Alligator mississippiensis: one gene and its partner. The protein of the gene in region 2 purifies or fractionates together with the protein of the main gene of each other region. This does not show direct contact. Links are inferred from orthologs where the notes say so. Each region holds a gene or a part of one and is shown on either strand. Other genes may lie near its edges.

The links. Proteins that work in one complex are often made in the same cells at the same time.
Region 1: the proteins of VARS1 (region 2) and EEF1G purify together in Homo sapiens (affinity purification with mass spectrometry; 6 studies listed by BioGRID and IntAct, counting the BioPlex papers as one, with this or other methods). This does not show direct contact. The link is inferred for Alligator mississippiensis from reciprocal best matches to the Homo sapiens genes VARS1 and EEF1G.

What each region holds. Positions count from the first base shown.
Region 1 is NC_081838.1:3,125,724-3,133,463, reverse strand, and holds the start of EEF1G (elongation factor 1-gamma), read left to right. Parts: upstream 1-4,720; 5' UTR 4,721-4,804; coding exon 4,805-4,819; intron 4,820-5,554; coding exon 5,555-5,713; intron 5,714-6,069; coding exon 6,070-6,133; intron 6,134-6,327; coding exon 6,328-6,470; intron 6,471-7,055; coding exon 7,056-7,199; intron 7,200-7,467; coding exon 7,468-7,597; intron 7,598-7,740. Other genes in the region: 5'-3' exonuclease PLD3, read left to right, coding at 195-388; POLR2G (DNA-directed RNA polymerase II subunit RPB7), read left to right, coding at 1,597-1,608, 1,942-2,051, 2,188-2,347, 2,766-2,816, 2,917-2,982, 3,455-3,526, 3,740-3,773, 3,966-3,979. UniProt on the Homo sapiens protein: Probably plays a role in anchoring the complex to other cellular components.
Region 2 is NC_081834.1:57,717,666-57,725,758, forward strand, and holds the start of VARS1 (valine--tRNA ligase), read left to right. Parts: upstream 1-5,034; 5' UTR 5,035-5,133; intron 5,134-5,181; exon of another isoform or gene 5,182-5,233; intron 5,234-7,645; 5' UTR 7,646-7,653; coding exon 7,654-8,001; intron 8,002-8,093. Other genes in the region: U6 snRNA-associated Sm-like protein LSm2, read left to right, coding at 1,133-1,200, 1,595-1,625, 1,795-1,854, 2,266-2,391. UniProt on the Homo sapiens protein: Catalyzes the attachment of valine to tRNA(Val).

The sequences.
Region 1 (7,740 bases), on a different chromosome or scaffold from region 2:
TGGAGGCGTAGACACCTGGCTTCTCCCCAGCCCTGGGAGGGAAGTGGGCGTGGGGGCTTGGAGCAGGGAGGAGCTGGGAGCCCGGACCCCTGGCTTCCACCTTTTTCTGGGGACCTCTCTGGTGAGCTGAGCCCTCCCCTGCCCAATCCCAAGCAGCACTGGTGTTTATCACTGGTTTCCCCCCCTCCCCGTAGGCACCTCGAACTGGTCGGAGGATTACTTCATCAACACCGCAGGCGTGGGCCTGGTTGTGAATCAGAGCACCGAGGAGCCGGGGACACCCGGGCCTTCCCTGCGGGAGCAGCTGGCCGCTGTGTTCAACCGGGACTGGGAATCTCCCTACACGGAGCCGCTCAGCCTCAAGCCCCGCTGTGCTGCCAGGCACTGAGGGCAGCTCCCGCTGAGGGTGGGGGAAAGCCTGGGACCCCACCCTCCTCCCCTGGACTGCTTTGGACAGCTGGGGATACCAGGTGGCTCCCACCCCCCACCTGGGGGGGCTGGGACCCTATTAGCCAAAGAAGGGGCAGCAGTAGCTGCCTAGTGCCAGGCACCCCATGGCTGCAGCTATGGCCAGGGGGTCTCTGCACTGGAATCTCAGGGTCTGATGCCCTCTCCCTGCCTGGGGGGGGCGAGGGGTCTTGGGAGGGTTGTGCTCAGGGCAGCAGCAGGGGCAATGGGCATTGTTTGGGGGGTAGGTCATGGGCTGGGGCAGGAAGAATCGGGGCTAATCAGGAGCAGGGCCTTGTGGCGGGAAGGCGGGACGGGGTGGGCAGGGGGCTGCTTTGCTGGATTGCATGGCATTGTGGGGGCACGGCGCCTCTGCCAGTTTGCACTGAGCCCGGCTGGGGGGCTGTGGCCCAGGTTTGGGGGGGGGGGGGCATACTGATGTGGGCCAAGGGGGTTCAAAGCTAGGCTGAGTGGCTAGCCCTGGGGGTGGCCTGCGTGGGGATGGGGGGGCAGGGGGCTTTGTACACAGGGGCTGTGCCTTGGGGGTGCAAGGGGACGCAGCCCTCCCCAGGGGCCAAACGCGGGGCCAGAGGTGGGGGGGTCGGTGGCTCTGAGCAGCTCCTATGTGGCTGGGGGAGGGGGGGGCTGCACCCTGCAGGGGGTTGCAGTGGGTTTGGGGGGCTTTGCAGCTGGGCCATTGCGGGGGGAGGAGTGGGAGTGGGGGGGGCCTGTGCATTGCAGTTGTCACTTTCCAGAGTTTATTTTTGTAACCAGAGCGACAATAAAGCAAATTCTGATGCCACTGGGCCTGTCAATCACCGCATACGCCCCACCCCTCGCGCTATCAATCACCGCCCCGGGCCCCGCCCCTGCCCCTGCCGGGGGCTCCGCAGCGCCCCCTTGTGCCTGCCGCGCGCAGGCGCCGTTGGGTGCCTCTGGTGTCATGGCGGCCGCGCAGCCAGCCTGCCTCTGCCCCGAGTGCGCATGCGCTGCAGCTCGCTGTCCCTCGGCTGAGCGCATGCGCAATTAGTTCCCGTGGGGGTTCTGTTACGGGCCGAGGGGGCGGGGCTCCCGCGGGGCTGCGGCCAATCGGGGGCAAGCGCGGTGTTGCGGGTTCTTTCCGGTCCGGAGACGTCGGGACTCAGGAGGATGTTTTACCACGTGAGTGGCGGAACCCCCCCCCCCCCCCATGCCCCCGGGGCTGGGACACTGCGGACCCCGCCCCAGGGAGACCCCCAGCGCAACCAGGCTTCCCGGCATGCACTGCTGCCCAGCCTTGAGAAGGGGGTTTACCTGGGGGGGTGGACAGCGGGAGGGTGACAGTCCTGGGGGGAGGAAGGAGGGCTGATGGGGGGAGGGAGGGGGGTTGACAGGGCAGTCCTGGGGGGGGTGATGGGGGGGCAGTCCTGGGGAAGGAGGGGAGTGGGTGGGGGCAGGGGGGCCTGTCCCAGCCCCTGTGACAGTCTGTGACCACCCCATGTCCTGCCCCAACAGATCTCCCTGGAGCACGAGATCCTGCTGCACCCGCGCTACTTCGGGCCCAACCTGCTCAACACGGTGAAGCAGAAGCTCTTCACCGAGGTGGAGGGCACCTGCACGGGCAAGTGAGTGGGGGGCCAGGCCAGGCTGGGTTGGGGGAGAACAGGGAGCTGGGACACGTGGATGGAGGGGATCCCACCATGATCTAATGTCCTAACGAGACTGGTGTTGTCCCTCCCCGCCCCGTTCCCTCCCTGGCAGGTACGGCTTCGTCATCGCCGTCACCACCATCGACAACATCGGGGCAGGCGTCATCCAGCCGGGCCGCGGCTTCGTGCTCTACCCCGTCAAGTACAAGGCCATCGTCTTCCGGCCCTTTAAAGGCGAGGTGGTGGATGCGGTGGTGACCCAGGTCAACAAGGTGAGGGGCGGCGGGGCACAGGAAAGCCTCTGGTGTAAGCCCTGGTGCGGAGGAGGGCTGCAGCCCTGCACCATCTGTCTTGGGATGCGGGGGGCTGTAGAAGCTGCTGGAGGCTGGGGCGTGCTGCCTCTGTCCCCCAGGACTAGAGTGACCAGATGTCCCATTTTTGGCTGGGACAGTGCCAGATTCTGCAGGCTGGTCCTGGCTGGCTGGGCAGAAGTCCTGAGCGGCGAGGCCGAGCAGCTTGGTGCGCCAGGCGGGCGGGTGGACACCTGCTGCAGTGCAGGAGCAAGGCGGGCGGACGTACGGCCACCCTAAGATACCACATCCGAGACCCCTACGTTCCTTGCTCCCGCGTTGCCCAAACCCAGGACTGTCACCGTGGCCCTCACAGCTTTGCTGCCTCCTCTTCCCGCAGGTTGGGCTCTTCACTGAGATCGGGCCCATGTCTTGCTTCATCTCCCGCCATGTAAGCACTGCCTGGGGAGGGGGCTGGGGGCTGCCTCTGGTCTGGGAGGCTCAGGTGAGACCTGGGAGCCCACCACAGCTGACTGTCCTTCTCTCCATAGTCCATCCCCTCTGAGATGGAGTTCGACCCCAATTCCAACCCCCCCTGCTATAAAACGGTGGACGAGGTGAGCTGGGGCTGACGGTGCTCCCTGGGGGCACCTGGCAGCATTGGGGGGCACTGGGGAGGCTGGGGTAGAAACTCAGGTAGGGGCTAGGGGGTGCCCCAGAGCAGGGCAAGGGGCAGGAGGGTGGCTGTTTTCCAGTACATGAGATTCCTTGGGACAAGGAAGGCCGGGACGGGGCATGTCTGCTTTAGGCTCTGCTACTGTCCTGTTGAGTGGCCTGGGCCCTGTCACTTTCCCCTCGCATGTGCCTCACTTTATTCATCTGTAAAACCATCCAGCCTCCTTCAAAAAACTTCTGAAACCAGAAAAGAGAGGGACAAGCTGGTTGCAAATGGCATCTTAGTGATGAGAGGCATTCATGTCATTGAAGCCCTTCTCCCCTGTGGAGGAGATGGCAGGGGCTGCCGTGGTGTGGGGGGAGGGGGAAGCAGGGTGCAGAAATGAGTCTCGCCTGGGCTCCACGTGTCTGCAGGACATCGTGATCCAGCAGGACGACGAGATCCGGCTGAAAATTGTGGGAACCCGAGTGGACAAGAATGACATCGTGAGTCCTGCCTGCTTCTTTCTGTGGGGCTGGAGCCGGGTTCCCAGCTACCCCATTCCTAGCAGAGGGGCTGTGGGCCTGGAGCAGCTGGGTGGGAAGGAGTTGTGGGGCTGTCCCAGTGCCAGCGGGGTGGGAGCATGGGGGCTCCAGTCCCAGGCTGCGGGAGGGGGCGGGGGGCATACGCGGTGCTCACACCTGTGTCCTGCTTTGCAGTTTGCCATCGGCTCCCTCATGGACGACTATCTGGGTGAGTCTCGTCTCTGGCTCCAGGCCTGCCCCTATCCCTGCGTACCTGCACAGACTGGTGCTCCTGACAGTTGGTGCCCGCGGGTCGGGCTCTGCTCACCGAGGGGCTGCAGTCTTTCTCAGGTGGGGGCTCCTGGGCGATGGTGCTCCAGGGTCTCCTACATCCACCCTTCTCTCTCCATGTCTCCTTCAGGTCTCGTGAGCTGATGCACAAGCCCGTTCCTCTGGTTGTGTCCCTGGGCTCCAGCTGGGATGAGCCTTGCCTCTGCCCCCCTGCACTGCTTGCCCTATTTATGGGGGTCCGGCGTGGGCCTGCCCAGGCCTGGGGGCCGGGTCCACACCTGCCTGTTCTTCCTCCCAATAAAAGCTGCTTTTCATACACCGCTGTGGTGTGTCTGCTGTTCCCCACTCCCTCCCGTGACCCGAAGCTGCTTCGTGGGAGTGGGAGGGTGTAGGGGGGCAGAGGGGGGCTGCCTGGGGCTGGGCTGTGCTGAAGCACCCGCCCCCGTAGAGCCAGGACTCTGCTGTGCTAGGTGCTGTACAGGCACAGGGTGGGAGTTTGGGGAGAGCTGCAGTAGGATGGAGGGGTGTTGGGGAATGAGCCTGGGATAAGGGGGTGCAGTGACCCTGCAACCCTGGCCAGCCCCATTGGGACCCCAGGGCGGTCTGGGAGGACTGGGACCTCCCTGAAAACAGCACCCCGCCCCCCAGCTGACAGCAGTGGGGGGGTGGGGTTTGGGGCGTGGAGGAGCCCTGGGAACAGCACGTGGGACCAGCTGCAGGACCAGCCCGCGGGCGCCCCCGTGTGACAGAAGCGCGTTATTACCACTTCCAAGGCCTCACCGCGCAGGCGCAAGCTCCTCCACGCCCCCCTACCGCCCCTCGGGAGACGCCCCTTCCGCTGCTGTGACGTCATATGCCGGCGCCGGCGGCAGGAGGCAGCTGTCGTGCTGCCGCGGCCGCGCGCTTTACGGCCCCGCCACCTCCTCCCCCGCGCGCTTTACGGCAGCCTCCCTTTCTCCGCTCGCGAAGATGGCGGTGGCCGGGGTGAGTGCGGGGGCCCCCGCCCCCTCGCGCTATCCGGCCCCATCCGCCCCGGGGGGGGCCCGGCCGGGGCCGGCGCGGGGCGGGCGGCCGAGGGCGGCCCTGGCCCGTCCCTTTGCGGCGGTTATTGGCGGGAGCTGGCGCGGAGGAGCCGCTTGCGGGGCCTGGATGTGTGGGGGGGGGGCCTGGCTCGGGTGACAGCAGGCCTTGGCCCCTAGAGGGTTTCCCTGGGGGGCGGGGCTCGGGCAGGGACCGGGTCGGGGGGGGCGTGACCCTAGCAGAGGTGCTGGGGGCCCCTGGGCCAGTAAAAGGGGGGATTGGGGTCCCGGGGGGGGGTGCTGGTGCCAAGCAGGGAGCTGGCACCGGGCACTGTGCTGCGTGGGGGGGGGGGAAGCTGTGCAAAGGGGGCACAGGAAGGTGTGAAGTGGGGGGGGCATGGGCTGGAGCTGAGGACCCCTTGGTTGGGGTCTTGAGGGGTGTGTGGGGGGGGTCAGAGGAGATCAGTCGGGGGTCGGTGGGTCTGTTGCAGGAGTGAGTTGGCAAAGGGGGGGGGCTAGGTTGAGGGGGGCTGAGGATCCTGCTGGGGGTGGGGCAGGGCAGTGCCCAACGGTGGGTGGGCTTTCGGGGTGCCTCGAGTGAGGGGTGCAGGTGCCTCGCTGGGGGCGAGGGAGCGCTGTGTGCGCGTGCGGGGGGGGGGGGCGCTGCCCGACTCCCCTCACCCCCTGCTGCGCCCCACAGACTCTGTACACCTATCCCGAGAACTGGCGGGCCTTCAAGGCGCTCATCGCCGCCCAGTTCAGCGGCGCCAAGGTCAAGGTCCTCTCCACGCCCCCCCAGTTCCACTTCGGGCAGACCAACAAGACCCCCGAGTTCCTGAAGAAGTTCCCCGTCGGGAAGGTGGGTAACGGCGCCACAGGGGGGGGGGGGGGGGGATGGGATCTGGCTGGGGGCTTTGCCAGGTTTCCAGCCGTGAGTCATCGAAATCGGACACGGCTCCGCTGCCACGCTGTCCTTCTGCCCCGGCTCCTTGCGCTGTGGGGGTGGAGGGCAAGGGGTCCCGCTTCGCATCGAGGGGAGCCGTGCGTCTCCCCAAGGGGAGCTCGGACGGTGTTTGTAAGGGGAGTTTTTCTTTCCAAAGCTTGGCAAGGGGGAAAGGCTACTCCTAGGAGCTGGGGGTGCCCCGAAGGTGGGTTCCCGTACCCACAATCCGTGGTTCCCGTACCCTACTGGTAAACGCCTCTTTCTCTGCCAAGGTCCCGGCTTTCGAAGGCGACGATGGGTTCTGCGTGTTTGAGAGCAACGCTATCGCGTACTACGGTGAGCCCGGTCCCTCTCCAGCTTCAGGGGGCTCCGGTCCAGGCAGCTCTGAGTCTGTCGGAGGTTTGGGGCTGGGGGGATGGATGTTGGGGGCAGCGCCACGTGTCTAGAGCGCTGAGAAGTTTCCTTCCCCAGTGAAGATGGGAGGGACGGGGGGCTCTTGTGCTGCTGGTGACTGTGGGCTCCCTTCTCAGTCAGTAACGAGGAGCTGCGGGGTGCTAGCGCCGAGGCCGCCGCCCAGGTCCTCCAGTGGGTGAGCTTTGCAGACAGCGACGTCGTCCCCCCTGCCAGCACCTGGGTCTTCCCCACACTGGGCATCATGCACTACAACAAACAGGTCTGTGGGAGCCGGGGCTGGAGCGGGGGGCACAGGGCTGTCCTGCAGGGGCCTGCGGTGAGGTGAAGGCTGGGATTCGCTGTCATTTCTGTCGGCTGTGGGCTTCCTGCTCCCCTACTGCCTTTGTTGCCCCAGGCACAGAGCGAGGTCCTGGCTGCTTGGCGATGAGGCTAGGTGGATGCTCAGAGGCGTTTGGTAGCTGAGGTCTGTTGTCTTTCGACCTGGAGTCAGGGGAGGGGTGCTGGGCTTAGCTATGTACAGGTGTGCCTTAAGAATGGCTGGGCGTGGGGTGTCCGCAACCTGCCTCTTTCTCTGGTCCCCCCAGGTGAGACCCTGGCGACTGCCCGAGTGGGTTGCAGGTGCACCCAGTGCTCGTGGGCTCCCCTGCTGCAGTGGATGCCCGGGCCAGGGTAGTTGGGTGGACTGTGCTCTGCAGCGGGAGCTCCCCTGCCGGAGACCTCCCCGTGCTGACTGCCTCTTGGATTAGTGTCTGAGCACCTAAGGGATGGGCTAGAGCTAGGGAGGAGGCTTTTCCGCATGGGTTTCTCTGGCCTGGGTGCTGATCTGGTGTCTTTGCTCCCCCAGGCAACAGAACTTGCCAAGGAGGAGGTGAAGCGGGTACTGGGGATCCTGGATGCACACCTAAGGACTCGGACCTTCCTGGTGGGCGAGCGGATCACGTTGGCTGACATCACCGTCGTCTGTACCCTCCTCTGGCTCTACAAGCAGGTGCGGGTTGTGGGGGGAGGGTGGCTCCGTGGCCGTAGCCAGCAGCTCTGGAGGGGGCTGGCAGCTTTGGAGGCTCTGGACAGGGGCTGCTGTCTAGACGGATCACTTGGCTTGGCCTGGAGCTCTTGGTGTCCAGGACAACAGAAGGCTGCCGCTGTGTGTGCTGCGTAGCCGCCAAGGTTTGTGGGGGAGGTAGAAGGGAACCAAGATCCTCTACACGCTGTGGCGATGGGGCCAGCCCCAGCTGACTGGTGGCCTGTCCCTCCAGGTTCTGGAGCCATCCTTCCGCCAGCCCTATGTGAACACCAACCGCTGGTTCGTCACCTGCATCAACCAGCCGCAGTTCAAGGCCGTGCTGGGGGAGGTGAAGCTCTGCGAGAAAATGGCCCAGTTTGATGGTGAGGAGCTCCCTGGGCTGCGAGGGGGGAGCTTGGCTGAGTCCCCTTGCCAAGGTGTCGGGGTTTGTTCCTGCCTCCCAGGAGCAGCCACTCGCCAGCATTGCCCAGGCTGCACCTGGAGCTAGTGCAGGGGGCCCATCCCG
Region 2 (8,093 bases):
GTCAGATTTAACTTCCCCCCACCAAAAAGGACCATAATCTGGCTTGGACAGAAAAGTTTAAAAAAACAAAACAAAACAAAAAAAAAAAAAAACCCAAACCCAAAAGTGACTGTTATAAAATTGCTGCTGTACCCCAAAATTGGCCAAGCCAGCATATTTCTTGGGATGAGCACCTGGAAAATGCTTTACAAATCTGCAGAAAATTTGTGCCAATGAGAGAACGCCACACATGGACCACGGGGTCCAAGCCCTCCACTTCCTGACGGCTGCCTGCTGGCTGCTGTGCAGGGGGTGGTGTTTATGGAACTGCAACCAAAAGCTAACCAGTCTCACTCCATGTCCCCAAAATTGACAAGGCTAGTACGTTTTTTGGGTAGAGCACCTGAAAATGCATCGTTGAGTGGCAGAAAATTGGGGCAGTAGGAGCAGTCTAACCCAAAGGCCACCCCCCCTCCCCCCCCAGAAAAAAAAACTAAACCAATCACAAATTTCATTCCTAACCTGCCCCCTGCTGTGATTTAGTAGTAGAAGATCGGGATGGTTAAAACTGTTATGATGTGTCTAGCGTTTTTTACTAGTTATAGTACATTAACGAATTTTGAGTGTTATACATGTTACGTGCAAAATAGTAACGGAAATCATTGTAGTACATTGTGAAAATGAAATAAACCCGGAGATTATCTTTAGCTAGAAAAAGCCAACATTGTGTGCAGGCACCCACAGTGCCCAGGCTGGGGGCGGGCAGCGCTGGCGCAAGAACTGAGCTTGGTGCGGGACAGGGCCCTGCTCAGACTTGTTCAGAGCATGCCGTGGCGGTAAAGACATGTGGTTTGGGGCAACCTGGAGAGGATTTGACCCCAGAAACCCAGCTGCAGATCAGGTCTTTTTGGTGCTGTGTCCTTGAGGCATGATGCTATTTTAGGTTGTCATAAGCAAATAGATCGTTTTGGTGCCACCTGGATTCTTTGGCTGCTGTACTTTGCTGCTAACAACCTTCAGCTGCGTAAAGACTGGGTCTGGGAAAGGGACCAGGACCTGGAAGTAAAGGACCAGCTTCAGCCTTGTGCTCGGGGTGGTGGGGGGGCTGTGTGCCTGCCCCAGGCTGAGCCCTGCCATTTTTTCCCCTCCACAGCTTTTCTACTCCTTCTTCAAGTCCCTGGTGGGCAAAGATGTGGTGGTGGAGCTGAAAAACGACCTCAGGTGAGCGGGTGCCTACTTTAGGCCTGGGGGGTGCCTTGGTTTCTGGGCTCCCAACTCCCCCCTCCCCTCCAGGCTTTCCCCACCTAGAGCAGAGGGAGAACCCAGAGCTGGGAGAGAACCCAGGTGCCCAGGTGTTTGGGCTCCCAAGTACTACCCCCTCCACACCTCACTCGGCTCCCGGAGCAGCAAAAGAACCCAGGTGTCCGGGCTTCCAGCCCCCTGCTCTAATGCATCTGCCCCCATCTCCAGCCAAGTGCTGGGAGAGAACCCAGGTATCTGGGCTCCCAACTCCCTCTGCTCCCCAACCAGACTCCACTCTCCCCCCACAGCACGGAGAGAACCCGAGCATCGGGGCTCCCCCTGCCCCACGAACTAACCCCCTCCTCTATTGCAGCATTTGTGGGACACTCCACTCCGTAGACCAGGTAGGACCTCTTCTCCCCCCCATGCCCCTCAATGATTCAGTCCCTTTAAAGGGCCACCCCTCCCCCCCAAGCTGCTCTGCAGCCAGCTAGGAGGCTCCAGGCCTCTACCTCACAGCACTAGGTTCAGGGCCTGTCTCTCTGTCTGTCTGTTCTTCCCACCCCCTCCCAGTACCTGAACATCAAGCTGACAGACATCAGTGTGACAGACCCTGAGAAGTACCCACACATGGTAATGGCCAGTGGGGGGACACAGGGGTTAGGCTTGGGTGTGTGTGGGAGGGCTGGGTTTGGGGGGTGTGGGGAGGCCAGGCTTGGGGCAGGGGGGTGAATTGAGGGGACTGGAGACTGGGGTTTAAGGGGCTTGGAGGTGTGTGTGGGGGGCAGGCTATGGAGGGGCTTGGAGGTTGCAGGGGTCTGGGGGTATATGGGGAGGCCAGGCTCTGGGAGGGTGCTGGTGGCTGGGAGTGTGGGGGGAGGCCAGGTCCTGGGGTGGGGACTGGCTTGGGTGGGGCTTGATGATATTGTGAGGGGCTGTCTCACTGGCTGTGGGGGGTCCTAGCTTGTGGCTGGAGCACCCTGGGGGAGGTGGAGAGTCCCCCAGCTGTGGACACTGACCCTCCTGCTCCCCCCCTCCCCCCAGCTGTCAGTGAAGAACTGCTTCATCCGGGGCTCAGTGGTCCGGTACGTGCAGCTGCCAGCCGACGAGGTGGACACACAGCTGCTGCAGGATGCCGCGCGCAAGGAGGCGCTCCAGCAGAAGCAGTGACCTGCCCCCCCCGGATGCCTGGGTTCCTGCCTCAGACCTGAGCAGAGCTGGAGCCCACGTCCAGACCTCCCCACACCCCTGTGTTCCTGTCCTGCCCCCCCCCCCCCCCCCCCCCCCCCCCACACCTGGGCTAATAGCTCAGAGGTGCCTGGCTCCTGCACTGTCTTGAGCAGCGCTGGAGCCTACATCTAGATCCCCAGACACCTGGGTTCGTGCCCTTCCGCACACCTGGATCCCTGTCCTAGTCTTGAGCAGCGCTGGAGCCAACATCTACCTCCCCGGACACCTGGGTTCCTGCTCCGGTCCTGAGCAGAACTGGAGCCATATCTAGGTCCCTGGGTGCCTGGGTTCTTCCCCCCTGCAACTACTGGGGGGGTTCCTCTTACGGGACCCCATCCCTTTTTTTCACCACACTCCTGAAGGCCCCTATTTTAGCCTGATCTTTTGTTGCACTGAGTTTTCTACCCCTCCTTTTGGTTCTTTTAAGGCAGGGTATCTAGTCTCCCTGCCCCCTATGGGATAGAGTCGAGGGTCCTGGAGGGGGAGGGGGTTCCAGCACCTGGGGGGCAAATAATCACATGGGGGCATCTTTGGGGCCTTGTCTGTGCATAGACTTGGCAGTGGGGTATTAAATTTGGGTGTCTTCAACCTTTGATTTGTATCAAGGCTTGTCTGGGTCTATGGGGCGGGGAGGGGGGTACTGGCCATGGTCCTGGACATCTGGGTTCCTGGAGCTCCCCCAGGGCCTCGCAGCTAGGAGGGACTGGAATGGGGGGGGGCTCTAGGCTCTAAGCTATGAAGCTGAAAAAGGGGTGGTGGTTACAATGGACTAGTCTATCTGACTTGCAGGGGGAGTGGAATGGACTAGTTTATGTAGAATGGTCTAGTCTACTTTAGATGGTTGGGGGGAGGGTAGAGTGGACTGGTCCACCTGGCTTGGATTGTAGGGGGTGGACTGGACTAGTTCTAGCTTGGCCTGCAGGGCCTACGGTGGACTAGTCCATTTGGCTTCTGGGGTAGAAGGGTTCTAATCTAGTTTAGACTACAAGGGCGTAAAGTGGACTAATCCATTTAGCTTTGTAGGGGTTAGAATGGACTAATTCAAATAGTTAGGATTGCATGGGGGTTTGGAATAGACTAGTCCATCTAGCTTGGCAGGCAGGGGGTAGAATGGACTACTCCATTTAGCTTTGTAGGGGGGTAGAAAGGACTAGTCCAACCGGCTTGGACTGCAGGGGGGAGTGGAGTAGCTCATTTGCCTTGGTTTGTAGGGGGAAGCGTAGGTTGATCTATCTTGCTTGAAGGGGGGGGAAATGGTGTTTAGACTGCTCCATTAGGCCTACCTCCTAGGGGGAGGAGTTCAGCCGGACTGATCCACCCGGAAGAGACTGGCGAGGGGGAACTTGGGGGTTTCTCCCCCCACCCCCCTGCCCCACAGCAGCCAGCCCTAGGGCCTGTTTAGCCTCATCAAGAATCCCCTGTGCCACACTGGGCTGCCTGGGGGTGGGAATGGACCAGCCCATCTGGCCTGGTCCATTCCCCAAGCTGGGGTGAGGGGTGTCTCCATCCCACCAGGGCTGGTGGTGGTCCCCTCTGCTCTGGTTTTATGCTCCCACATCTCAATAAAAGTGTTTTGTAGCATCCAGTCTCCCCTCTTCTTTCCTATCCCGGGTTGCGGCCCAGCTGCCCGGGTTCTCTGTTCAGTCCAGGGGTGGCCTGGGGTTAAAGCGGGAACCGGGACGCCTGGGTTCTCCGTTTATTTCGGGAGGGGTGTGGGCACCGCACACCCCTCCTGTTCTCTCTGCATTTTAGGGGCGGGCAGAATCCCGCCGGCCAGGCACTCCCGTCTAGCCCGCGGGGCCCGGCTGTGGCCTGGAAGGCCGGGGGCCCTCGCTGCCCCTCCGAAAGCCGGCGTGCATGCCGCAGCGCGGCTCTGCTCGCTGAGCACCGAGCACCCACTCGGCCCACCTGACCCGACCCGCCGCGGCCCCGAGCCAGGGGCTGCTAGAGACGAGCGGCTTCTGCCTGGCACAGGCTTTTGCTGGCCACCCCACGGCAGCTGCACCAGGCCGGGAGCCAGGGAGTTTGCACCGCGCGATGCTGCGGGGCAGTCAGCTCCCTTGTAGACGGGCCGCTGGCTCTCGCACCGGGGAGGGAGCGGGGTGGGTGTGGGGACTACAGAAGGGAGGGACACCTGGGCTCTCTGGGACCCTCCCAAAGGAGCCAGGTGTCCCTCCCAGCCCCCCTTCTCTAATGCCCCATTCCCGCAGAGACCAGCCCAGTGTCACGTGGGGAGTGGGGCCTGGGGGTGACAACAGGGGCTGGGGCCAGGACAGCCGGGCTCTGCCCCCGGCTCTACGCAGCCCCCGGCCCGCAGAGGAGCGCCCGTGAACCCAGGCGCCCAGGGGGCGCTATGACACTCTATGAACCTGCCCAAGTGCACGGCCTGCGCTGTGGCCGCTCTATCCACCCCAGCACCTTTATGCCTCCACGCAGCTTCCTTTCTACAAGGCCCCGTTTTGCGAGTATCCTAGCTAGTGCCTGTCCAACTAGATAAACAAAGCCACGCCCGCATTCATGCTAAAGAGGGGCACGGCTAAACCCGACCACGCCCCTCCAGCTGCCTAGTGAAGGCGGAGGGGGCGGGGCTGCGTGGCGCGGCTCAGGCAGTGCTGTGGTCAGCCCCAAGTGGGTCCTTGGAGTGTAGAGCGAGGCCGGGCGGCACACGTGGGGCTCTGGGAGGTAAGAAGGGGGCGGGGGGAGTGGTGGCAGGACCCCCTGTAATCCCCCACCCCCCAGAGCGTTGGAAGGACCCCCTGCAATCTTCTCCCCCAGAATTGTGGTAGGACCCTCTTTAATGCCCCCCCGCCCCTCCCAGAATTATGGTACGACTCACTATTATCCCCCTCCCGGATTATGGTGGGACCTGCTGTCATTTCTCCGTCTCCCCCGGGAATTATGGTAGAGCCCCTGGACCCCCCCCCCCAACTACCCAGAACCCACTATAATTCCATCCTCCAAATTATGGTAGGTCCTCCTGTCACTCCCTCTCTTGAACTGTGGTAGGACCCAGTATCCCCCCCCCCGAATTGTGGTAGCACCCCTTGTCATTCCCCACCTATTCCCAGAAGTATGGTACAACTCACTGTTAATCCCCCCTCATTCCTAGAATTATGGTATGATCCACTAACCCTCCCCCCCCCCCCCAAGATATAGTAGGGCCTACTGTCATCCTTCACCCTTCCCCACCAGTCAAGGTAGGACTCACTTATCTCCCCTCCCCCCCGAATTATGGTAGGAGTCTCTGCCATTCCTCTCCCTTCCATACAGTGTTGGGAGGACTCACTATAGCACCCCCCTGCACAGTTATGGTGAAACCACATATAATTCCCCTCCCTGCAAAATTATGGTATGACCCACTGTAAACCCCTCAGAATTAGCATAGGACTTACTGTAATCCCCACCCCCACCCAAGAATTATGATAGAACCCCATATAATCCCTCTCTCACCCCTGAATTATGGCGGGGCCCCTGGCCTTCCCCCCAATGATAATACAACCCACTAATAATACCATCCCCAGAATTACGGTAGGGCCCTCATATTCTTCTTCCTTTCCCCTAGAATTGTGGTACAACCCACTATAGCCCCTCAGAATTATGGCAGGATCCCATATAGTTTCATAGTTGGTAGGGTCGGAAGGGACCTGAGCAGATCATCAAGTCCGACCCCCTGCCATGGCAGGAAAGAGCACTGGGGTCAAACGACCCTGGCTAGGTGGCTGTCTAGCCTCCTTTTGAAGACCCCCAGGGTAGGAGCGTTCCAGATCCTATCTGCCCTGACAGTGAAGTGGTGCCTCCTGATATCTAATCTGAATCTACTCTCCATTAACTTATGGCCATTGTTCCTTGTTACTGCCGGTAGTGCTCGGGAGAACAGGGACTCTTCCATTGCCTGCTGGTCTCCGTTTGCAAGTTTGTAGGTGGCCACCAGATCCCCTCTCAGCATTCTCTTGAGGCTGAACAGGTTCAGGTCCCGTAGCCTCTGCTTGTAGGGCCTGCCCTGCTGCCCCCTGACCATGGTGGTGGCCCTCCTTTGGACCCTCTTGATCCTAGCCACATCCCTCCTGAAGTGCAGTGCCCAGAACTGGACGCAGTACTCCAGCTGCGGCCTGACCAGTGTTGCATAGAGGGGGAGGATCACCTTGGCCCTGCTTGAGATGCATCTGTGGATGCATGACAAGGTGCGGTTAGCCTTCCTGACCACATCCTCACATTGTCGGCCCATGTTCACCTTGGAGTCTATAATGACACCAAGATCCTTTTCTGCCTCTGTGCTTTCAAGAAGAGAGTTCCCCAGCCTGTAGGTATGCTGCTGGTTCTTCCTCCCCAGGTGCAGTACCTTGCAGCTTTTGTTAGACTGCAATAGAGAAGGAAGAACTAACAGAGAGATGCACCAAGAGGAGCAGCATGTCAAAGTTACAGGCTAGGAAAATAATGTTTACATCAGCTTTCTGGATGGATGTGAACAGAGCAAGGCTGCTTGCATCAAAAACAGTACAAAAAAGATGCAAATATATAATATAATCTCCCTACTCCACCAAGATTATGATAGGATCCCTTGTCATTCCTCCCTTCCCCCCCAGAATTGTGGTATGACCCACTATAATTTCCCCCTCCCCCCAGAATTATGGTACCCCCCAATTATGGTATGACCCACTCTAACCCTCCCCCAGGATTATGATAGGACCACTTTGTAATTCCCTCCTCGCCTTCCCCCAAATGATGATACGACTCACTATAATCCTCCTCCCCTCTAGTTACAGTAGGACCCCCTGTAATTCCACCCTCCCCTTCCAGAATTATGGTAGGACCTCCCTACTCCCTAGATTTATGGTACAACCCACTATAATTCCCTCCCTCCTCCCCAGATTACAGTAGGACCCACTGTTATAGGGGGCATGACTGGACACCTGGGTCCCTTTTGGTGGAGGGTGTCCATGGGATCGCATCAGCTGGGACACAGGTTCCTAGGAGCAGGGGTGGCGTTGGGGATCAGGGAGGGGGATCAGAGCAGGGTGGGGAGCTGACAGCCTGACTGTCTGTGTTCTCTGCCGCTGGGAATGGGGAGCTGCTGGATTGGAGTTGGGAGCCTGGACCCCTGGGTGGGCCCCAGGAGCTCCAGTGGGTTACAGCAGGGGGTGCTGGCAGCCTGGATGCTTGGGTTCTCACCCCCTTTCTTTCTCCCCTGTCCCAGGCCTGGACATGGCCACGCTGTTTGTGTCCCCCTGTGCCGAAGATGTGGCCAGCCGGCAGGCGCTGGTGGTATCGCGCTTTGCCCCCTGTCCACCCCGTGTGGTGCCTGTGCCCGATCTGACACCTCCTGGTCCCTTTGCCCTGCCCCGGCTGCCAGCATTGGAGGATCCAGGGGGGCTGCGTGTGACCGGAGCCACCGCTGTCACCTTCCTGCTGGCCCCCCCAACCCTGCGTGGCTGTGGCCTGGCCCAGGCCACTCTAGTGCGCCAGTGGGTGGCCTATGCCCAAGCTGATGTGGCCCCTGCTGCCACCGCTGCCTCCCTGCCCCACCTTGGCCTGGCAGCCCTTGGCCCACAGGTAAGCCTCCATTCTGTGGGAGGGGCGTGGGGGTGGGGGCTGGGAGCAGGAGGCCTTGGGTTCCCTTGGAAGGGGTGTGGGGGGCATGAGAG